7 separate regions of the Mus musculus genome follow, and all the other regions are reported to be linked to region 1. The links are microRNA targets in miRTarBase. Many come from high-throughput screens and were not tested one by one. Region 1 holds a microRNA gene; each other region holds the end of a gene's coding sequence.

Region 1 (3,082 bases):
GACCTCAGATTAAAGGCATTACTGAGACTCAAGGTGTTATTATAATAATAAATGATTTAATAGCAGGGCGAGGCCGCTCGCTGAAGCAAGAGCTGGTGGGAAGGCAGAAAGGCTCAACGCTGAGAAGGGGGCTGCGGCTCGGCTTGAGACCCTGGTCCTGACACTGACTCTTGGAGGCTTGGAGGTAGGAAACTGATTTTTTATAAAATCTTGCTTGTTTCATCTGGCTCCAGCATGGCCTTATTGAATGCTTCTTACAAGTTCTGCATAGTAAGATTACAATCTTTTCAGGAAATGGGCATATAAATTAAAGCAATTAGAAACAACTCGAGGCTTTAGAATCAAGTTCAGAATGGACTAACAAGTGTCTAGAAGGAAGTGGAGAAAGAGCTGGCTGGCTAAATGCAGTTTTCCCTGTGGGTAGAAACTCCCAGCTCTACCACCCACTAGCAGTATGACCAAGCCTCAGTTTCTCCTGTAACCGCAATTGTTCTTGTAAAATGCTCAAAGGTTAACACAGTAAGCACTCCAGTGTCGCCCCCTCAGACTACGCCCCTTGATGCAATTGATCTTGGCCAGACTGCTCCATCCTTAGAGCCTCAGTATTCTTCCTGCAAAATGGGAGTAAGTGTATTCCTGCCTTAGTGATTATAAAGTGCAGTGCACTTGGTAGCACCATTCCCTAACCATTACTATCATCAACATTTTATTTTTCTTTTCTAGCTAAGGAGCCAGTCATACATTCAAAAGTTTTAAATCTCTGGATTGGGGCTGGGGGACGTCTTTGGAAGTTGGGAGTTTAAGATTAGTAGGAAAGGACTGGTAAGATTTAACAGATTAGAGAAGAAACCAGAAACCCAGAAAGTTCGAGGTGGGAAGGAGTGGGGCTTCTCCCTTTCCCATCCCACCCCGTAGTTTTATCTCTCTCCCCCGTTCCCGGGTAATCTTGTTTCTCACCAGTGCTGTCCTCTAGTCTGCCGCTCTTCAAGCCTAACCTGTGGACTAAGTAACGTGAGCCTTACTTTCTGGCCCTCCCGCAGTCAGGAGCAAGGACTACTTTAATCTTTACTCTTCCCAGGGATCCCGTTTCAAAGTCACCTGAAAGCCATTTCCTCTCTCTCTGCCCCGCCCCTCCCCGTAAATCACTAGGTGCTTGCTTTTCCCTGGGGCAGCTTTTTTTTTTTTTTTTTTTGAGGGCAGTGGTGGAGGAGGGGATTTTATAAGCTATTTAGGATTTTCACTTGTCTACACTTGGCGGTCTAAATGCTGAGTTACTGGGGTCGATTCTCCATTCCTGTTCCAAGAACCTGGTGCCATCGTTTAACGCAGGAGTCCTACTTCTTCTGTGATCTCACACTGGGCTCCCATCTCCTACCCCTCTTCATGGTGCGTACTGGGGACAGCATCTAATGCTACCTCCCCTAAGATCTTTACCAATGAAAGATTTATTCTTAGTGAGGTGTAGTAGCGCACACCTATAATTCTAGCACTCTGGGGGATCACTCAAGAGTTCTGGGCTAGCTTGGGCTACAAAGTGTGGGCCTGTTTCAAATCAAAAAATAAAATAAAAACAATAATTAGGGCGTGGTGGTGCACACCAGTAATCCCAGCACTCCGGAGATAGAGGGTGGAGAACCATTACTCTCAAGATTACCCTCTGCCAGTCTCAGATAATTGAAATCCTGCTTCAAAAACAAAAACCACACAAAAGATTTATGTTCTTGCTCAAAATCTAACTGGTTTGTATTCTATGTGCTTGTGCTAATCATCCCCCAATTTTCCCATCCCCTAATTTCCCGGTACATGCCTTTTGTTGATAGATCGCACTCAAAATGGGGTCCACTGACATTCAGGTTCCTCGATCAGTTTTTCTCATTAACAGTCCCACTGAGCGCCGCGCCCCGCCCCGCCCCAAGTTATGCGCTTCTTATCTCTTTCTCCTCAGAAGGTAAGATTTTACAACTGTAAAGAGCCACCGAAACCTAGTTTCGGCGAGGAATTCGAGACGTGCCTTTCTGACTCAGCGGTCGTGGTGACCTGCTCCAGTAGGACCAGGACGCCCTTGCCACCTAGACCTGCGCTTCTCCTGGGAAAGTCTAGGTGGCTGGGCTCCGAGTCCTCTCTGGTCGGAACCTGGTCTGGAGGCTTTCGTTGCCCTCTCGGCGTGATATCAGGGCGGTGGCACTAGAGTAACCCCACCACGTGCGCCTTGGGATCCCAGAGTTCCAGGTGGCAAGGGGAGGCGGCCAGCGGGACCCACACGGCGGGCCACGCGCGTTAATCATTAGCCACGGCGGCCGCTGTCTACAGCGGGAGCCACAGCTCGCTCGCACCGCCGCGAAGGTTCCCCCGGGCCCCCCAGAGCCGCCAATTGCTGGATCGCAGCCGCGAGCGCAGTCTCCACCCACTGGAAACATTCCTGGTCCGCCCCTCCCTGGCTCCCTCCCTCTCCCTCTCTCTCTCCCTCCCTCCCTCCCGCCGCAGCCTGGACTCCGGCCGCAACTTCCTGCCCGGTGCTGGGGAACCGTGCGCATTTCGGGGGTCCCCCGGCGTCTGGTGCTCGCAGCGAGCAGAGGCTGGGACCGCGGGGCGGCCAGCCGTGGGCGGGAGCGGCCGGCGGCCTCTGCCGCTTCCGAGAGCGACTTTCAAACTCGAGCCCGCTTCGCGGCGCCACCTGGGCAGCCCCGCGCGCCTGGCGCGTCGCGAGCCGGCGGGGCGGCCACCGCTTGGTGAGTGTCCCTAGGTTTGCCTTTCTCTCTTTGCCCATGCTCGATTGGCTGAGTGGCAGCGCTCTGCGGAGACCCCAGGCTAGCCCTCTGTGGGATGAGGACCTGGCCCCGAGCTGCCTCGGACACACTCGGAGGAGGTTGGGTCGCGGGAAGGTCGTAAGGGGAGTCACTTTTTATCCCCACCCCGGAAACCAAAGCAGCATAGGCTTTGCAGAGTTTGAAATCCGGGCAGCTCTCGACATTCCCGCCACCCCTTCCTTGTGTGCCCTGACGCCCGTGGGCTAGTGCTTGCCTGAGACTGTGGGCTCTTCTAGAAGGACTCGCCTCTGGTCCCGCCAGCCCAGGAGTGCGCA
Region 2 (3,082 bases), not on the chromosome of region 1:
AATGAACTTACTCCAACCATGAAGCCTCCTGGAGTTTGAACATTCACATTGTAAAATTTATTTACCTACTCAATAGTAAGTGACATTAGCCAGCTTATCCACTCAAATGAGGATCAGAGATTAGAAGTCAGGGCCAGGGCGTTCTAATTGCAGTCTAAGGGCTGGCTATTGTCCTGGGTGTAACCTTTCTCTCTAGCACAAAAACTGGAGATTCAAAAATATAATCCTTTCATACCCCTGGGTTACCAGTATCTGGACTACATAGTGATAATATAGTGCTGGGTGGGCATGGTGATGTGGTGGCCTGGATTACAATCAGAGCAAATTAAAGCCTGGGCAATTTGCTAAAATCTTGTGAAACTTAAAAACTGTCATGGATGGTGGTGGCAGTAGCACATGCCTTTAATTCCAGCACTTAGGAGGCAGAGGCAAGTCAGTCTCAAGAGTTCAAGGCCAGATCTACAGAGCAAGTTCCACATAGACAGTGGTAGGCTTAACAAATTATGTGTACCTTGGGTGAGGACAAGTTAATTGGCCAGAGGTAAAGTAAGGTGGGTGCCAGTTCAAGGTTAACTTCAGATAGTCAGAGGACAGGGGCCTGTCTGTGAAGTATCTTGTTCTTGCAGGCTAAAGGAAAACTACATTTTACTGAGCATTGATGGCCCTGGAAAGAATATTCTGAAGTTCAAGCCCCCAATGTGCTTCAACGTTGACAATGCACAACATGTGGTAGCAAAGCTGGATGACATTCTAACAGGTAAACTTGATAGAATCCCATCTAGCATAGATCAGCCCTTGTGTAACTAGAGCCTCCCAGCATGCGCCAGGGATCTTATAACAAGTATCCATTAGATCAGAAAGGATGGCCTTTGTAACCAGTAGCAACTTGCACTGACTAAACATGGGCATCACCACCTATGATCCCAAAATTTGGTAGGTAGAATGGGGGAGATCACATGCTCAAGATAATCCTGGGCTACCTACACCTTATCTTTTTTAAAATGCAAGATGCCTTCATGTTCACCCCAGCAGCGATGGCACACATCCTCAATCCCAGCCTGGTCTATAAAGTTCCAAGACAGCCAAGGGCCATCAAACAAAGAAATCCTGTCTCAAAAAACCAAAAGAAACTGTTAATGACAGGAGCTTCATTTTATCTTCAAGATAGGGGCACCCTCACATGTGAGTGGCTAAAATGGCTGGCTGGCTAGAGTCAAATCCTCCCCATAACCTTTAAATCACTCAAGGTCAAGAACAGCCCAAGGTCTCCCTCAATTTATTTAAGAAAACTACCGAACTAGAAATGACTATACACCAAAGTGGTTGTTATACAAAGCTCAGATCCCAACAGACAAAAAACAAGCTACCAAGGATCCCTTCCTATTCCTGCTTGTTAGCCACCCCTACTGCGTTTTGGAATTGATACATTTCTTAGAGGGTTCTATGTGTACAGAACAGTGAGTGGTGACTGGGCTTACAAAGGGACCATCTGTGCTAGGGAAATGATGAGACATAAGCCAATCTCTAAACTATCCCAAGCATCTTAGAAACTGAGGGTAGGCCAGGCGTGGTGGCGCACGCCTTTAATCCCAGCACTTGGGAGGCAGAGCCAGGTGGATTTCTGAGTTCAAGGCCAGCCTGGTCTACAGAGTTCCAGGATAACCTAACCAGGGCTACAGAGAAACCCTGTCTTGGGGGGAAAAAGAAACGATCTGTGATCATTTTCCAGACATGGAAGAAAAAGTAAGAAGTTGTGAAACCCTGAGGATCAAGCACCCCCCAGGTAAGCCAGACTTGGCCCCACCTCCATCAGCAGATCCCCAACATTTCAACTTGTACTTGACTGAAACTAAGAACATGGAATATATATAATACATGGCAAGATGGTCTCTGCTATGGAGACAATGGGCACAAAAGGGCAGCTAAAAAGATCAGATGGGATAACTAAAGGACCTCTGCTTTGCTACAGGAGACCTGGCATCTCCAACACTGGGCAAGGTCTCACAGAGCATCCCACATTTACCCAGGCTTGGGGGTTTTGTTTTTCATTTTTATTTCAAAAGCTTGGATAGCTTCAATATCCAGGTCGTGGCAAAATCAGGACACGTGTAAAATACCTTACAATACATTAGATTCCCAAAAGGTACCAAAAAGTACAGTAAAATTAACACTTCCATTACTGGAAATGTATGACACAAATAATATAAAATTAAAAGGTGAAAAAGGTGACACTGGTTTCCTAAGATACAGTTTTACTCTTTACAACCAGGGTCCACAGGTCCAGGCTGCAGAGCGGCAACAGGAAATAGACCCTCCTGATCTAGAACAGGGTAACCTGGTAATAAAATCAGCCCCCTAGTGCCGCTCTGGCCTCTGAGACGCCACACGCTGCCTACAACTAGAGCTCTGGAATAGTAAACAGGAGAGTGATTTCTGGGGGAAATTTTAAATAAGATGCACATGGGACAGGCCATAAAAGTTTGCCAAGTTAAATTTGGTACATAATTGTGTTCACTCCGCGTCCAAACAAAGCGTGTGCGGTCGTCACTCGGCCGCTCCTGCTGCCTCTCAGTATGGCTTGTAGTTATTCTGATGACCACCACGTCGCTGGCTCTTTCCGTAATTTGTACTACCCTGACCTAGGAATAAGAACAACGTTGTGGCTACTACTTTAACTATACATTTACCCAGTGCCAGGCGCTTGCCACACATCCTCAGAATAAATTAACACTACACAGCAACACCAGCTTCTTACACCTTACTGAGAAGGCTAAGCTAGAGCTTCATTCAGTAGCTCCAGTGCCTGTGCCAGGCCTGTCTGACTCCAAAGCCCCTGCTGCCAATGGCCCCTGCACTACCTAACCTGCCTCCCCTAGGAGGAAGTAGATAGGGCCTCCCTCTCCTACTTACTGTAGTCGTAGCCGGGGCCGTAGCCGTAATAGCCATAGGGCGAGTAGTCGTAGCCGCCATAGCCCGGCCCGTAGCCCTGCTGGTAGCCGTAGCCCTGGTTCCAGTAGTTGCCGTAGCCCTGATTCCAACTCTGACTCTGACCTGTGGGGGGGAGCAGGGCACAGGGGCCCAT
Region 3 (3,082 bases), not on the chromosome of region 1:
GGCCTGTACTTGTGGGCAAGCTTAAGCAGCTGAGTAGCTGTCTGCCTGTCCAGGGCCTGGGTGAACTGGTTAATGGCAGGAGGGACTTTGAGCCGCTTGTAGAGGATGGCTCTTTGCCGCTGCAGCCTGATGTAGCGGGCCCATTTGACAAAGTGCGATAGATGTCTTTTGGGCTGGATGTCCTGTCCAATGCCGAAGTTCTTAGGCCTCTTCTCGAACAGAGGGTTGACCACCTTCTTGGTCTCCTGCTTCTTGACGACGGCGGGGTCCGGGGCCACCTTCTTTCCCCTGGCCTTCTTCCCTTTGGGCATCTTGCTCTGCTGCTGGAGAGAAGAGGATCGTGTTTTCAATCACCAAAAGCACCGATGGTGCACAACAGTCTCAACCGTGTGTAAATCCTTTGTTTGTAATTTTCTTCCTTCCTGTCTTCTCCTTAGATGGGGCTCGAACGTTAAGCAACGCCGAGGACTACCTCGATGACGAAGACTCAGACTGATTCCCCCCGGGGCCGCTTTGATTGTTGCCTAAACTTCTTTTGCTTTTGCCATTCCGGAGCCTGGGTTGTTTGCCAGAAGAGTATTGATAACTGTTGCTTTTAAAGTCTGTATGAGCGCGACACTGCTGCACTGTGATCTGTGAGGAGTCGTTGTGAGGGTGGGTCATTCTCACCCACGCCTTGCCAATAAGTGAAGAGATACTTTGTTGTATAAAATACATATATGCTCACCAGGGTAAAATAAACGAAAAAAAATTATTTCTATTTATCAAGCTAAAGGAATTGTAATAGTTTTTTTTCTTTTAAAAAAAATCATTTTTTTAAGTTCTTTACCTCAAGGAATGAGATGTTTTGAGTGGGTTTTTCAAGGGGGAAATGGTTATTATAACAATAGACCAAAACTCTCAACAGAAAATTGTCAGCTCTTCTGACAAAAATAAACATTTAAAGAGATTTTATTATCTGTTTTTGTGCTATCACTCATTGCTGGTAAATAAAGCTTTCTATACTCAGGTAAGAACCGATTCGATGTTACTTTTAGATCACATTTGATATTGATTAGCACAGAAGAATCACAATGCTGTGTTCCTCTCACAGCTTCCTAGTTTTGTTTTGTTTTTTTTCCGAGACAATGTTTCTCTGTGTAGCCCTGGCTGTCCTGGAACTCACTCTGTAGACCAGGCTGGCCTCGAACTCAGAAATCCACCTGCCTCTGCCTCCCAAGTGCTGGGTTTAAAGGCGTGGGCCACCACCGCCTGGCTCACAGTTCAACACAGAACACAATTGCATATCTAAGAAAAGATAACACTTTAACAATTACGATATACTCAGAATTATATTCAGGGTAGTACCTAGACTGTAGAACCTCAGTGACCTCATTTCAGTTTGATTAAAGTGTGGAAGCTTAGAAAACCATGACTGTTTCTTTGTGAAAGCTGCCGTAATTTCCAGGGCGACGTTGTTAGGAAGCATGAACTTGACTCTCTCAGATAACATGTTTTCTCAGAACGCGTGTCTGCCTCACAAGGGTTTGGATTCCTTTGCTGAGTCAGGCTATACAGGAAGCCTTGGTGTGATACTTCATTAAAAGTTCTAATTTGTTGGGTCTTTTGGAGGGCAGTCATGCTAGGTCCCTTTTTGTGAGCCCTCCATAGCCTCAGGAAATAGCCTTGGGACCTCCCCTTGAGCTGGAACTCACTTTGGGCCTGTTGCTAGACCTTCTTTCCCTCAGGCTCCTTTCCATTTCTATCCCTGCAGTTCTTTCAGACAGAAACAGTTATGGGTCAGAGGTGTGACTGTGGGATGACAACCCCATGGCTCACTTGATGCCCTATCTTTCTGCTGGAGGTGGGCTCTATAAGTTCCCACTCCTTACTGTCGGGTATTTCATCAAGGGTCCCTCCCTATGAGTCTTAGGAGTCTTTTACCTCCCAGGTCTCTGGTGCATTCTGGGGGTGGGGGTGGGGTCCCCCCAGCCCCCTTATAGACCCAACAAGTAGCTGAAAGAGTCAGATGCAGATGTTTGAACCCAACCAATGGACAGAAGCAGCTGACCCTTGTTGAATTAGGGAAGGCTGAAAGAAGCTGAGAAGGGCGATTATGCAGGAGGACCAACAGTCTTAATCTGGACCCCGAGATCTTTCAAACACTAGACCACCAAACAGACAGCATACACCAGCTGATATGAGGCCCCTAACACACATACAGTAGAGGACTTCAAGGTCTGTGTTCATTCAGAGATGATGCATCTAACCCTCAAGAGACTGGAGGCCCCAGGGAGTTTAGAGGTCAGGTGGGATGGGGTGGTGGGGGCATCCACGTGGAGATGGGATGGGTTGGGGAGGAGGTATGGGGAGCAGTCGATGGGTGGATGGGGAGGGACAGGGAATGGAATATGGAGTGCAAAAAATGATTTACAAATAAAATTAAAAATTTTAAAAATATTCTAATTTTGTGTCACTGTGTTAAAAATGTCATGGTCTCAGTGTTTCTAGTTTCCCAGCCCTGGGCCCAGAAGTACATCTTTAAGAATTGACTGCTTATTTCAAAAGGCGTATTGGTCAAGAGAGGGAAATGTTGAAGAAGGAAGTGGACTAGCTCAGGAAATGAATAATGCCTGTGCAGGTGTGTCTTCTGCCTGTAGCTGGTTTTTCTCTCTGTAGGTCCCTTGAGAAAGGTGCCTGGAGGGACCAGTTTGAGGTCATTCAGATACCTCACCTAATTTAGTTGCAAATAACCTGTAAAAGCAATGACAGCAGAGACGGCCTCTGGGATTAATTAAGAGGCATATTGTCACCTCCAAATAGCTGCTGTGCTATTACATTGTTTCATTTTGGTTGGTTGAGACAGTCTCGCCAGGCTGTCCCTGACACTCACTGTGTAGCCCAAACTGTCCTCAAATCCTGCCCCTGCCTCCCAAGTGCTGGGGTTGTACTCGAGAGCCTCCACGCCTGGCTTGTTAATAAATCCAGTCGAGCTGCTTGCATTTCTCAATAAGCAAAATTGGAAAGATAGCAGTTCCTTCCAGAAGTGGTCTCTCTCCCCATAGAACTTGGAAGGGCTTTTCACTGGAACAGGCAGGGTGTG
Region 4 (3,082 bases), not on the chromosome of region 1:
GTGTGTTTTGGGGGGTGGGGGAGTCTCACTTGTAATACTGCTAAAGTATAGATGAACGTCAACAGCCGTGGAGCTTGGATGGAAAACCTGGGGGTGCCGGAGCACTGTCTCCGAGCAGCAGTTCCTTGACTAACGACCCTGTCTGCTGTGCTGCAGGTGGAATAATACCCCCATGGATGAAGCACTACACTTTGGACACCATGATGTTTTTAAAATCCTTCAGGAATACCAAGTTCAGTACACACCTCAAGGGGATTCTGATGATGGAAAGGGAAACCAGACTGTCCACAAGAATCTCGACGGGTTGCTATAATGGTCTGCACCCCAAGACTTCCATTACTTACCTAGTCATTGTGGAACATGACTATGGAGAGCATTGTATATTTCTATCTGGTAGTAATGTGTATTTACAACATCTGTCACTGCAGTGTTACCGGAGCTTCCTTCATTGTGCGCACACGACAAATCTGAGTTCTTTGGGAAAAAAATAGAAATGAAGCAGCCTCCCTTCATAATGTGAGCAATAGTTACCTCGTGCATTGTACAATGTGGTGTAAAAGAGTAGTTACCAATGCCAGCTGAACTGTGTGGTCTTCATGGTTTGCGTTCTGTACATTTTCAAGCCCTGGTGATGATACGCTCATATGCACTTAGGAGTGAGCTTTGTTGTACAGTCTGTCCACGGGGTCGATGCTGTTATTAGGTGAAAATAGTGTGATCTTTAAGACTTTAAATACAGATTTAGTTTTGAGTGTTTGAGAGACCACTACACTTGTATGGTTGAGTGTTTAAAATGTCTATCACCCTCACTTCAGAGTGTGACTCTTTAAATATTAAAATAGATACTAACTGTTCATAGAACAGGCCGATTCTGATTAGATTTTATCAGGGAATCTGTTAAGATATGTTTGGTGACCAAAACGTATGTGTGAATATAGTTCTAGCACTTTTAAATTTTTCCTTTCCATACAACGCTTGGGCCAGCCTCTCTGTGCTGCGTGGCTGTCGGTCCCCCTCAGCTGGGAAAGAGAGCACTGGCTCACTGTGCAGTTTTCATGTTTCCTCAGCAAGCCATCAAGCCTCACATCTCTACCATCAGAGATAGAGCTTGGCCATTTATCTAAGGAAGATGAGCCAAAATTATGACATCTAAAATAATCGTCAGTCTTAAGAGTAAAGACAGCGAAACTGCACACTTATAAGTTCTTTTCAGCTTCTACAATAAAGAAAAGTTCAGAAATGCTTTCAGTTACCAAAGTTATAACGATATATTTAGGAAAAGCTACAAATAACACTTACTTTGAATCCTGCTGTCAAATGTCTGCATCAAGATAGCACCCCTTTGTGGGAGGCCCTGAGTATCTTCTCTTCCTCTACTGCCTAACTGTTGGTGGGCTGTATCATTCAATAAGATCACTTCATTTTCAACTTAGACCCACCGTTTCTTTTTTGTTGTTTTGTTTTGTTTGGTTTGGTTTGGTTGGGTTGGGTTGTTGTTTTTGGTTTTTTCGAGACAGGGTTTCTCTGTGTAGCCCTGGCTGTCCTGGAACTCACTTTGTAGACCAGGCTGGCCTTGAACTCAGAAATCCGCCTGCCTCTGCCTCCCGAGTGCTGGGATTAAAGGTGCAAACTACCACGCCTGGCAGACCCACCATTTCTTTGCTTTGGAAAGGTAATTTATGATTAACTTAGATAATAGGTAAAAGCGACCTTACAAAAAACATAATTATCTAGGAGTCCCACATACTGGACCTACCCTATTATACCTCCAAGAGATAAAGGGTATGTTAGTGAGGACTTTTGCACACAAGTGCATGCACACTTGGCATACACACACACACACACACACACACACACACACACACACACACACGGACTTCTTGGAAACTGCTTTATGAAGAAACTGCTTTATGAAATAAGCAAAATTCTCAAGTGCACAGATACTAGCAGTTATGACAGTAATACAGCGTCTTCTGTGACCCTCACTACCTGCACTGCTTGCATCCCTGCTTTATGCCTGGTGGCACATTATTCACCCGGTAACCTCCAGCTGCTTTGATCCTGTTTCAGTCAAAGTCAGCTTCAGCCACCCCCTCCATTCCCTAGCCAGCTCCACCCTTGATGAAACTGTGGCTAATGTTCCTTCACTAGGACAGGCACCATGAGTGTGTTTCTAAGTTCCAGAGTCTGTGGGGAGGATGGTGGGTGGGCAGCCAGCCCTGTTGCTATGTTGCTTCTTCCACACCCCCTCAAGACAGGTGCATAGGTGGCACTGGGAACATCCTACGCAGGGACAACCTCCAAAATTAATGGGTGAACATGGTTTTTTTGGAATCAACTGAGATAATGCTATTTCAATAGCGGCTGGCTTTTTGTGATTCAGTAACTTAAATATTGCCAGTGACTGAGGATCCCCTCCAGTCATGGTTCTGTATATTCTTTGAGACAGGTGTTTTCATCTTCTCTCAGCTCAGTGCTGTTTTGTACAGTCTCTGTGGCTTGGTTGAGTATGCTCTTTCCTGTGCCAGGTCTTGCTCTGGCTGTTCGCTACTGGCTGATAATAACAAGGACCCTGTGTGTGTGTGAATGAGCCGCTAACTGCTACCATCTGTAAACTCCAAAGATCTGTTTGTTTTGGCTTTACAATCTTAGCTAATTTTTCTGTATCCTGGAACCATTACATGATCATGTTGCTTTGAAGATCTTTTTATGCCACTGTTTCTGCTGTCTTGGTTCTGACACCCCTGTCTGGTGATATGCTATACCCCAGTGCTGCCTACACGTGCTTTAGCTGTAGAGCTGGGTATACTGTTGATCCAGCTGTCCGTCAGGGACTTGATAACCTGATGTTTGATGTAGATCCCTGCTGGGGAGTCCACAACTATGAATGTATTTACTTCCAACATTTCCCAAAATGAAAACTATAAATTGCAAGTATTCTGGAATTGGGAAATACTTATTTTAAATGAGATCAGGTAGTGTTGCTTTTTACAGCATAATAAATATGTGTATTGAAAACAAACTATGAGAAAAAGTGTTTTCTTTTTTAATAACTAAGGTTTTCTCTGGGCTGTTGGGTTGG
Region 5 (3,082 bases), not on the chromosome of region 1:
TTTCTTTAAGAGATGTATGTGTTACCTCTTTAAAGAATTCTACCTGTTTACCTGTGTTCTCTTGTATTTCTTTAAGGGAGTTATTTATGTCCTCTTTAAGGTCCTCTATCATCTTCATGAGATGGGATTTTAGGTCAGAATCTTGTTCTTTAGGTGTGTTAGGCTATCTATAGCTTGCTGTAGTAGGAGAACTGGGATCTGATTTTGTAAAGTCATATTGGTTCTGTTGTTTTTATGCTTGCCTCTTGCCATCTGGTTATCTCTAGTATTAAATGGCCTTGCTGTCTCTGACTGGAGCCTGTCCCTCCTCTGAGCCTGGCTATGATCACCTCAGGCCAGGCTGTCTATGTATGTGGATTCGAGTCTGGAACACCTAATTTGTGAGCCTGGCTGTAGAGTACCTCGTTGGAGTGATGCTGTCTCTAGTTGTGAGAAGAGTTGGGGCAGAGTGCTAGAGCATATAATCTGCCTCTAGGCAAAGTTGCAGTTTGGGCAGGAAATATGTCCCCAGCAGGGTGGGAGGTCCTGCATCCTCTGGGTCACAGGGACACTTGTCACTTAGGACAAGTACTGGGATTGGGGGCATGGTCTTACCTGTGAGTTTAGTTGTGTTGGAACTCTTAGGAATCAAGCTGTCCATAACTATTTCTTACAGATATTATTGTTTTGAAGTTAAAAATATAGCTCATACCATAAAAGAAATGAGATATAGTTTATTCTGCAGATGAATATAAATGACTATAGCCCAAGAACACAGATCTAGGTTAGCCCAAATATCATGGTGGTGATTATATGACATAGTATTCTGCCTTCAAAACTTTTTAAGGATAAAACTTTTTCAGACTGGATGAAGTTAGTGACATGTACTGAGACAAGTCAGGAACAGATTCACATCAAAACAGGGATAGGAGAAAGGGGCCAGCTAACTCACCCTTTGAAATTCTACTCAACCAGTGCTTATCTTGCTGTGATGAACGGATGCCATAAGGCATTCTTTGAACTTTTTAAGACAAAGAGGCTATGAAATGTTGAATGAGATTTTCCATTGTTACTTTCTATCACAATTCTTACATTATTCAGTTAAAAACAGAATAATACTCTTATGGTTTCTCTTTGTAAATTGGTGAATAAGGTAAAAGCAAAGCATTGCAAGTTAACTTACTGGCAGTGTTTTGGATGGTATAAAAAGATCAAAGGATTTTTGAAAAGTAAAGAAAAATATACACTTTATTTTTTTCAAATTATATTTTTTGCACTTCAAAATCACTTGAAGAATAGTTCAAGTTTATAAAGTTACTATTGTTGAACAGAATTAAACAAAATTCCTGAAAAGGAAAGCCAAAGTTACTTCATTGTACTAGTGAAGGTAGATGATTCAAGCAAGCCATTACAACAAAATTAGTCTAGGTCACAGATGCTTATTATTTTTTCCTATAACTTGAGGTTGTATCAGATTGTGGGTCACATTAACTTATTGGTATTGATAATAAGGCAAATTAAGTATCTGCCTACATTGGCTTAATTTTTTTCCTGAGAAGAATATTCTCCAAGTCAAATTATATTTTCATACCTACAAATATTTTATATAACTTCTACAAGATATTTCTTAGCATTAGAACACATGTTTCATAACTTGAAGAAATTATAAACCATGTTATGAAGCAGCTATCTCTCTAAGCAAAGATGTGTATTTTCTGTGAGTTTGCACTTGTACTGGATGACTTTCTTTGAAGTTGAAACAAGGACTTGTAGCTAAGACTCACTTGTAAAAATACAAATTCTTTTACCTATTCTCATATCAGCTATGGTTGAGAGTGTGTTTACATTGTAAATGAAGCCTCCATCTTTTGAATAGGTAAAGGAGAAATCTAGAGCTCATCAACTCGCTTTAGTTTGGAGACAGTTTGAGATACAATTTTACATAGGTTGATATTACCTACAGGCAGGAAACCTTTTCACACAAAGAGTTATACATTTCTCTGTCCAAGATATATCTGGACGTGAATAGGGCAGAGATTGAATAGGTTCTCAGAGATAAGCTCACAGCTCAAGGGAAAAGTTCTAAACAAAATAATGTGGCCAGGTGATGGTGGCATATGCCTTTAAACCCAGCACTTGGGAGGTAGAGGTAGGTGAATTTCCGAATTTGAGGCCAGCCTGGTCTACACTATTTCCAAGTCTCAGCTACTTGATCTGACACATGGAATAATATTACTGAAGAACCATGGTAGAAGGATAATTGATAACTCACAGAACAGCATGAAAACCTTGAGATAGCCAGGGAGCATAGTGTCCTGGGTCAGATATCCAGGAGAGGGAACCTAACAAGTGTAGAAAATGCAGACCATTTGCAACCTTGCAAACTGTTTTAATAGTGAAGGAAACATAACTCTAAGAAGCGCTTAGTGTTCTCTAAGTACTTTCTCTAAGTACTTTCTCTAAGTACTACTACATGGGAGACACAGTGGAAAGTATAGTCTCCTGTGAAATATGTTTTGCAAGAACATGTTTCATATTCTGAAACAAATTATATTCCATATTATAATAAACTCAGACCAACTTCTTTTTTTTTCAAAAGTCACAAAATGTATTTATTCAACTCAGTAAGAATCTAGAAATCTGAAGACATATCCTTTGAAAACTAAGGTAACAAAAGACCTTGGCTCTAGATCATTTGGAAGATTACCTGCTGGGGAATGTGTAGTATGTTTTCAATTAGCATTTTTAAAGCACATTTATTTTTCCTTCATGAATCTATTTGATTTCTCTTCCAGGTTACTATTTTAAGAAACCATATATTCAAGTTGTAGATTAGGCACTCTGAATGTCTGTGCAGAACTCAAGTGTTGTTCCAGACATCTTCTTCTTATAGACAGCATCAAATTGCTCAGTTTGGGTCATTGTGAAGTAATTTTTCCAGTCCCCAACAATACCTGAAAATAATAATAACACATGAAAGAGTAAAACACGAATTACAAAGAAAAAACTAACAGACACCAGGGAAAGGCAGGATACTTAAGGGATGAAGTTGAAAAATAATTCATTTGCTTCAAAGAAAATTTCTAATATGAAAGAACAAAGA
Region 6 (3,082 bases), not on the chromosome of region 1:
GTGGCTAAGTGCACTGGGAACCTGATGACTCACACTTGTCAGTCCAGCATCACACAGAAAACTAAAGCAGAGAGATTGCCCAGAGTTCCAAGGAAGCCTGACCCACAGAGTGAGACCTCCATCTCAAAAATAAGTTCATACAAGATAAGTAAACAGAAGTGCTGGAGGCCACAAGGTTTTATACAACTGTTAGGTTGTAAATATTTTTAATTCTTTACTTGATTTTACTTGGTGTTGTGTGTATGTATGTGCATGCAGGCATGTATGAATGTAGGTCAAAGAACCGCAAGTACCATTACTTGCTGAGCCGTCACAGAGACACAACACAAAGATTTGTCGGAGATTTCTGGGTATTTACTTTTGAGAAACGGTCTGTGTATGCATACTGGGACTTGGGGCTATCCTCCTAGCTCAGCTAGATGGTGAGATTACAGGCATACTTTAAAGCTTTATTTATTTATTTTACGTATGAGTACACTCTGGCTCTCTTCAGATACACCAGAAGAGGGCATCAGATCTCATTACAGTCGGTTGTGAGCCACATCTGATGGATGTGGTTGCTAGGGGTTGAACTCGGGGACCTCTGGAAGAGTAGCCAGTGCTCTTAGCCACTGAGCCATCTCTCCAGCCCTATGGCATGTTTTAAAACTGATAAAACTAAATTGTGAAAACAGAAAAGCAGCAGTTCCCAGAGGACTATGACTGGAAGATGAGGTGCACAAAGGAGAACCACCCCACCCTCTTGCTGGGGAGTCTAGGCAGGAGTATCTGCCTCATGCCACTGAACTCAATCTCTCCCAGACTCTGGACACTCATCTCCCCAAAGCAGGTAGCAGACGGACTTCTCCACATTTTCATGCTTACATATGCACACGTATTTGTGTAAGTTGGAGGTTGACATCAAGTGTTTGCTCTTGGTCACATCTTTAGGAGACAGTTTCCTGAGTCCAGCCATCTCAGAAACAAGTTCTATCTTGCTGGCAGGGTCAAGACTGAGTTCATGTTCCCAGGCCCCAGAATACAACTCCTATCCTGCTTCTTAGATCTTTCATGTTTGTCTGTTAGCCAGTGAAGGCTGTAAGGAAGGAAGATGCTGTTCTCCAGTTATCCAAACTAAAGCACACAAGTCGTTAGTGTGTCCCTGCCTTGATTTAACTGACTACTGCGGCTCACCCACTCCTTTGGTCCTTCACCACACTAGATTCCAGGTCAGAGTCCAGGAGGGGACTAGGCTGTAAAAGCTGACTCAAGGACCCTGAAACCAGGTGACCCAGATAAGACCTAGTCACCAGTGTTAAGTCCTTGTTTAACCCTTTGTGTCAAGATATGATTGGTCAGTACCCAGGTCCCCTTCGCTTTGTGTTCCCATCCTATAAAAAGCGTCGTGCAGTCTCTCATCAGGGTTCAGATCCCCAACTGGCCACCTCCCTGCCAGTGCAGAAAATAAAGCTTTTATTTTTTAAGCTTCTGTCTCTGAAGTAAGTTTTCTCAGTTTCTACCGCAAACCAAACAACTCCAAGCACTTTACCACAGCAGGCAGCTCTCCTGCCCCGAGTTTTGCTGTTTTGAAACATAGTCTCAAAGTAGCCCAGGTTAGTTTCAAACTTACTAGGTAGTCAAGGATGACCCTGAACTCCAGATCTTCTTGTCCCCACCTTCCCTGAGATCAAGGGGAACAGACTGTGGGCATATTTGGCAGGCTCAGCTTGTCACACTGACCCTTCTCCATACATCACAGAGACGGAGGGAAAATAGGCAGCAGGCCCTTCCTGCTGTCCCCACAGGGTCACAAGTGATCACGTCCAACATTCAAAGTGGGAAGACTCGCACTGTGCATAGAGTAGAGACAGAAGGAAGAAGGTCTCTAGGGATGTCAGGGCAGCTCAGCTCCTAGGAAGGCAACACACATATACACCATCCACTTGGCCTCTGATGCATATAAAATTTATTAAGGCAATACTGAGCCCCAGGATTTGAGGAACAGTGTACTCGGCCCTCACTTTCTCATCTGAAACAATTGCAACATCCCAGCTGTCTATCCTGTCACAGTTGCTGGGTTCTTGGGCCAGGTATCAGGGTCTGTTAGAAAAGCTCTTGCTAGCCGGCCTTTAATCCCAGCACTCAGGAGGCAGAGGCAGGTGGATTTCTGAGTTCAAGGCCAGCCTGGTCTACAAAGTGAGTTCCAGGACAGCCAGGGGCTATACAGAGAAACCCTGTCTCAGGAAAAAAAAAAAAAAAACAAACAAGAAAAGCTCTTGCTATTGTGGGCCATGATGTAGAAAAGAAACCCGGAGTGAAAAATCATTATGCCTTTTTTTACTTCAAGACAAGGTCTAATGTAGCTTAGACTATCACTGAATTTGTGATGTGGCAGCCGGGCTTTGAACCTGTGACCCTCTTGCCTCTATACCACAGTGCTGACACAGGATGACAGACTAGTGCTATCACTATTCATTACCCTCATTCCTCATTTTTTTTTTTTTTTTTTTTTTAGGAAAAAAACATTTTTTTTTTCTAGAATGTTCTGGATCTTTTTACCCCTGGAACATTCTAGAAAAAAAATTGCTTTAAAAGACTGATGGGAATAGGTTAAACACATGTCTCATTCAGACTCAGTAGGGGAGGACCTGTTGTGCAATTGGACTGTTGGGAAAAGCAGTCAAGCCAGATAGATGTTGGCCCTGAACCTTCTCCCTACTTCCCTTCAGGGGTTTTCTCTGTGATTCCAGGAGCGAAGGGGCCCACCAGCCACATGGCTGGAGTGTTCTGGGCCACGTACTCCACAGTGTTGTCTAGGGCCTCCCGGGCTCTGGCTATGCGCTCCCGAGTTTGGGCAAGAACGCCGGCTGAGAGGTCCTGGAAGGAGTGAATGCCGGAGAAGGTGGCCTGAAGGTCGTTCACCTGGCTGCGGGCCTGCTGTGCCTGCTCCCTGACGTGGCTGGGCAAGCCCTGGATGCTGGCCCCCAGGGCCACACACATGCTCTGCAGCTGCTGGGTGATGTCCCTGAACATGCTGAGTGCCCGGGCCTCCACCTGCTGGAAGGGGGAGATTGGGGTGGGGTCAGGGTATTGAGGGCCAGTA
Region 7 (3,082 bases), not on the chromosome of region 1:
CCCTCCCTTTCTCCCCCACCACCACCTTCCTTCCCCCCCTCCCCCCAGATAGAGATAGATAGATAGATAGATAGATAGATAGATAGATAGATAGATAGATAGATAGATAGATAGACAGACAGACAGACAGACAATCTTTGGGGGGATTTTGAGATAGAGCTTCTCTCTATAACTGCCCTATCTAGCCTGGAACTTGCTTTATAAACCTGGCTGGCCTCAAACTCAGAGCTTCTCCTGCCTCATCCTCCCAAGTGCTGGGATTAACGGCTTGTGCCGCTTCTACCTCCCAGACTTCACTGTAGAATCTTAACAGAGAAAGAAGGATGCTACTCATCCCTCCATCAAAAGTGACTCATCCTCAGGGCCACCTCCTAGAAGGAGACGAGTTCTTTAGCAGGCCAGCTCCCCTCAGCCAGTCCTAGAATCATTTAACCCCATAAGGCCTCAGAAAATTTAAGTGTAACTTTTGGGTCTATGAGAATTTGAAGCACTTAAATTTCCCTTTTAAACAGCCAACTCCTCAAGTTGGGCTCACACTTTTAATCCAGCATTGGGAGGCAGAGGCAGACAAATTTCTGAGTTTAAGGCCAGCCAGGGAAAACTTGTCTTGAAAAAACCCAAGAGTGAAACCTTCAATGTCATACTATCCCCTTCTGCCTCCCCTCAACTCTATCTCCCACCAATTCCTGTCATCCCTTTAGGATCTAAACACATACAAGCAGATAGTAAGCCATAATCCCCTCCCCCACTCCTTTTATGGGAAATGCAGTGCGCTGGTATGGTGGTTTCAGAATTTTCTCTCCACTGCTTTCCAGGAGTCACCAGGCCTCTGGCAAGTGTTGTGTTCCTCATGCCAGCCTAGGGCCAGACAATCAATAAGTACTTGCTGGGCTGGGGGAGGGATGGGGAGAGCAGACTGAATGGACCAATTGATCTCTGGGGACAGCCCAGAGCATGTGAGGCAAGAGCCTCTTGACACCTATGCTATAGTCACCTCCCTAAGTGGTAATGGCCTCAGTCCTGATAATGTCTTCTGGGGCACAAAACGAACACCTCTTCACAATGCTGCCAAGGACTGTCACTGCTAAACAAAGATGTTTCTGAAACTAGAAGCACAAAGACTTGGAAGATGCCTGGACTCCGAAGGTTCACACCTCTGTGCACTGCAGCCTAAATGGCAAGATTCTTCTGTCCTACCTGCACTGTGACCTGTTTCTGCTGTTGCCGTTGCTAAGAGATCTGTGCAAAAGGGTAGATTTGGGCCAGAGGCTGAACAGGTTTTCTTCAGTTTTCTGCTTTCAGACAGCTCGGCGTCACAGATGGGACAGTGTCGTGCAAACCACTGAGAAAGTGGACTAATACTTTGGGGAAGTTTTAATTTACTTCAATTAAAAATTCAGGGCAGCGTTGAACAAAACAGAAGTAGGTGAGATTACTTTGAGAGCCTCTGAACAGGCCTGTCTGGGTCCCCTGCAGGCAGTACCAGAGGACAGCTATTCCAAGGGCACTTCCCATTGGCCAGCCAGTCCTAAGACTTAGCATTTCCCCCTCACCCTCCCAGCAGACCAGACAGGGCATCGCCTGGGAGAAACCAACCCCAAGAATCGTCTCTCCATTGATAGCTGAACTAGCTACTCTTTTTGGGAATGTGGGGGGGGGGGGGTGTGTGGGGGGGGATATGCACATGTGCGTGTATATGCATTGAAATTTCTGGACAGGTACAGTGCTTCGCTCAAGAGGTGACTTCCAGAGTCAGCAATGACAGGATCTCACTTTTTATTGCAGGTCTTTACATAAAATGTAAACTTTGGGAAGAGGGGAAGTTCACAACTTTTTCACAATTGGTGGCTCACGCCATTAATCTCAACACTTAGAAGGCAGAGGTAGGCAGGTCTCCATGAGTTCAAGGCCAGCCTGGTCTACACAGAAAGTTCCAGGCTAGCCAAGGTTACACAGTGAGACCCTGTCTCAAAAAGAATAATGAAAAATCTTAAGGGACCCAACTAATTGACTGGCAGTGATCCCATGCAAGGCCACTGGATAGGTCGCAACCTGCTTGGGGACTGGGTACATCAGGGTCAGTAATCCTACTTTGCTAGAGAAGGGCTGGGGACAGGTCTCAGTGCAAACAAGGTTGCTTCCGGGAAGAGATTAGGGGATGGCAGGCTTGCTGGGAGACATTTCTACATACTACCCATGACACCTGGCAACAACTTTATTGATACCTGAGAGTAAGTGCTGGAGAAATGTTTGCACTGACCACTTAGCCTGCTCTATTAGGCAGGTCACCCAAGGGCCAGATGGATTCTCTTGTCCTTCTCTTAAGCTGTGGTCATTGGAGCTTCCCAAGCCAATGGCCAACAGCAGCCAGGCAAGCAGCCAGACCTAGAGACTAGGAAAAAGGGCATCGCATCGGCAGTGCAACTCCAGGGGGAGGCAGCGAAGTCAGTGAAGAGGCCTCATCGGTCCAGGTCCAGAGCCTCCTGGGTTACTGTCCGGAGTCCAATGGAGAACAACTCTTCCCAGGGCTCCCGAATCCAGGCCAGCAGGGCTGTCAGCTGCTCCCCACACACAACATGAAGGGCCCAGAAACTCTCCAGTCGAGACACCTGGTAGATTGAGCAGCAGGCAAGGGAAACACAGTGAGAGACATACCAAGAGTCCAGAATCTTAGGAAAAGACACCACACCCTCGGCTTTTAAAGGCTCTTCCCCCTCCTCCCCTGCCTCAGGTCTGTGTGACACTGCATTAAAGGGCGACTCTGAGCCTTAAAGCGCACTGTCTGAGGGCTCTAGAGGACTGGTGTTCACAGTTCCGTCTCTATCTTCCATGCTGTAGGGAACGTGAGTTCTAACGTCAATTCCAAGAACTGTGCAGGTTCAACTCCTGACTCTACTCTTGTGACCTGCACAAGTTTCATGTCTCTGAGCCTTAGTTCCATCATCTGTAAGACAGGATCAACAACAGCACCTCCTCCTCATGTTGGAGTTGTGAAGGTCAACCAGTTGGCATACAGTGTGGGTAGGCTGATCACACCAACTCACACCAGCTAGGTATTTCAGTACCGGGCTCCAAGGCCAGG

The links. Region 1 holds the annotated microRNA mmu-miR-5135 (AGGUCUAGGUGGCAAGGGCGUCCU, at 2,054-2,077, opposite strand). A microRNA usually pairs through its seed, bases 2 to 8, with sites in the 3' UTR of a target mRNA and lowers its output. Matches are read on the target gene's strand: a 7mer-m8 pairs with bases 2 to 8, a 7mer-A1 pairs with bases 2 to 7 and ends in A, and an 8mer does both.
Region 2: the mRNA of Hnrnpab is a reported target of mmu-miR-5135. Seed matches in the 3' UTR shown: 7mer-A1 at 1,640-1,646.
Region 3: miRTarBase lists Ostf1 as a target of mmu-miR-5135. Seed matches in the 3' UTR shown: 7mer-A1 at 888-894 and 7mer-A1 at 1,170-1,176.
Region 4: miRTarBase lists Gls as a target of mmu-miR-5135. Seed matches in the 3' UTR shown: 7mer-A1 at 1,559-1,565.
Region 5: miRTarBase lists Sult1b1 as a target of mmu-miR-5135. Seed matches in the 3' UTR shown: 7mer-A1 at 2,159-2,165.
Region 6: miRTarBase lists Plin3 as a target of mmu-miR-5135. Seed matches in the 3' UTR shown: 7mer-A1 at 2,165-2,171.
Region 7: the mRNA of Stk11ip is a reported target of mmu-miR-5135. Seed matches in the 3' UTR shown: 7mer-A1 at 1,916-1,922.

The regions. Positions count from the first base shown.
Region 1 is chr12:76,531,090-76,534,171 of GRCm38, forward strand. It overlaps Mir5135 (microRNA 5135), which reads right to left and starts at 2,123; the gene lies at 2,045-2,123. It overlaps Plekhg3 (pleckstrin homology domain containing, family G (with RhoGef domain) member 3), which reads left to right and starts at 2,471. Exons shown (of 19, transcript NM_153804.4): 1 at 2,471-2,729.
Region 2 is chr11:51,598,840-51,601,921 of GRCm38, forward strand. Hnrnpab (heterogeneous nuclear ribonucleoprotein A/B) reads right to left here. Exons shown (of 8, transcript NM_001048061.1): 7 at 2,911-3,051; 8 at 1,261-2,639. The coding sequence ends at 2,569. Phykpl (5-phosphohydroxy-L-lysine phospholyase) reads left to right here. Exons shown (of 13, transcript NM_028398.3): 11 at 627-757; 12 at 1,730-1,783. Among named protein-coding and RNA genes, the nearest start is that of Hnrnpab, 6.5 kb to the right of the region's middle.
Region 3 is chr19:18,578,684-18,581,765 of GRCm38, reverse strand. It overlaps Ostf1 (osteoclast stimulating factor 1), which reads left to right. Exons shown (of 10, transcript NM_017375.3): 10 at 438-1,402. The coding sequence ends at 496. Among named protein-coding and RNA genes, the nearest start is that of Ostf1, 52 kb to the left of the region's middle.
Region 4 is chr1:52,163,389-52,166,470 of GRCm38, reverse strand. Gls (glutaminase) reads left to right here. Exons shown (of 18, transcript NM_001081081.2): 18 at 157-3,022. The coding sequence ends at 313. Among named protein-coding and RNA genes, the nearest start is that of Stat1, 45 kb to the right of the region's middle.
Region 5 is chr5:87,512,129-87,515,210 of GRCm38, forward strand. Sult1b1 (sulfotransferase family 1B, member 1) reads right to left here. Exons shown (of 7, transcript NM_001382837.1): 7 at 1,199-2,933. The coding sequence ends at 2,812. Among named protein-coding and RNA genes, the nearest start is that of Sult1b1, 21 kb to the right of the region's middle.
Region 6 is chr17:56,277,038-56,280,119 of GRCm38, forward strand. Plin3 (perilipin 3) reads right to left here. Exons shown (of 8, transcript NM_025836.3): 8 at 1,925-3,036. The coding sequence ends at 2,695. Among named protein-coding and RNA genes, the nearest start is that of Ticam1, 1.8 kb to the left of the region's middle.
Region 7 is chr1:75,535,613-75,538,694 of GRCm38, reverse strand. It overlaps Stk11ip (serine/threonine kinase 11 interacting protein), which reads right to left. Exons shown (of 25, transcript NM_027886.3): 25 at 1,360-2,609. The coding sequence ends at 2,460. Among named protein-coding and RNA genes, the nearest start is that of Slc4a3, 9.3 kb to the left of the region's middle.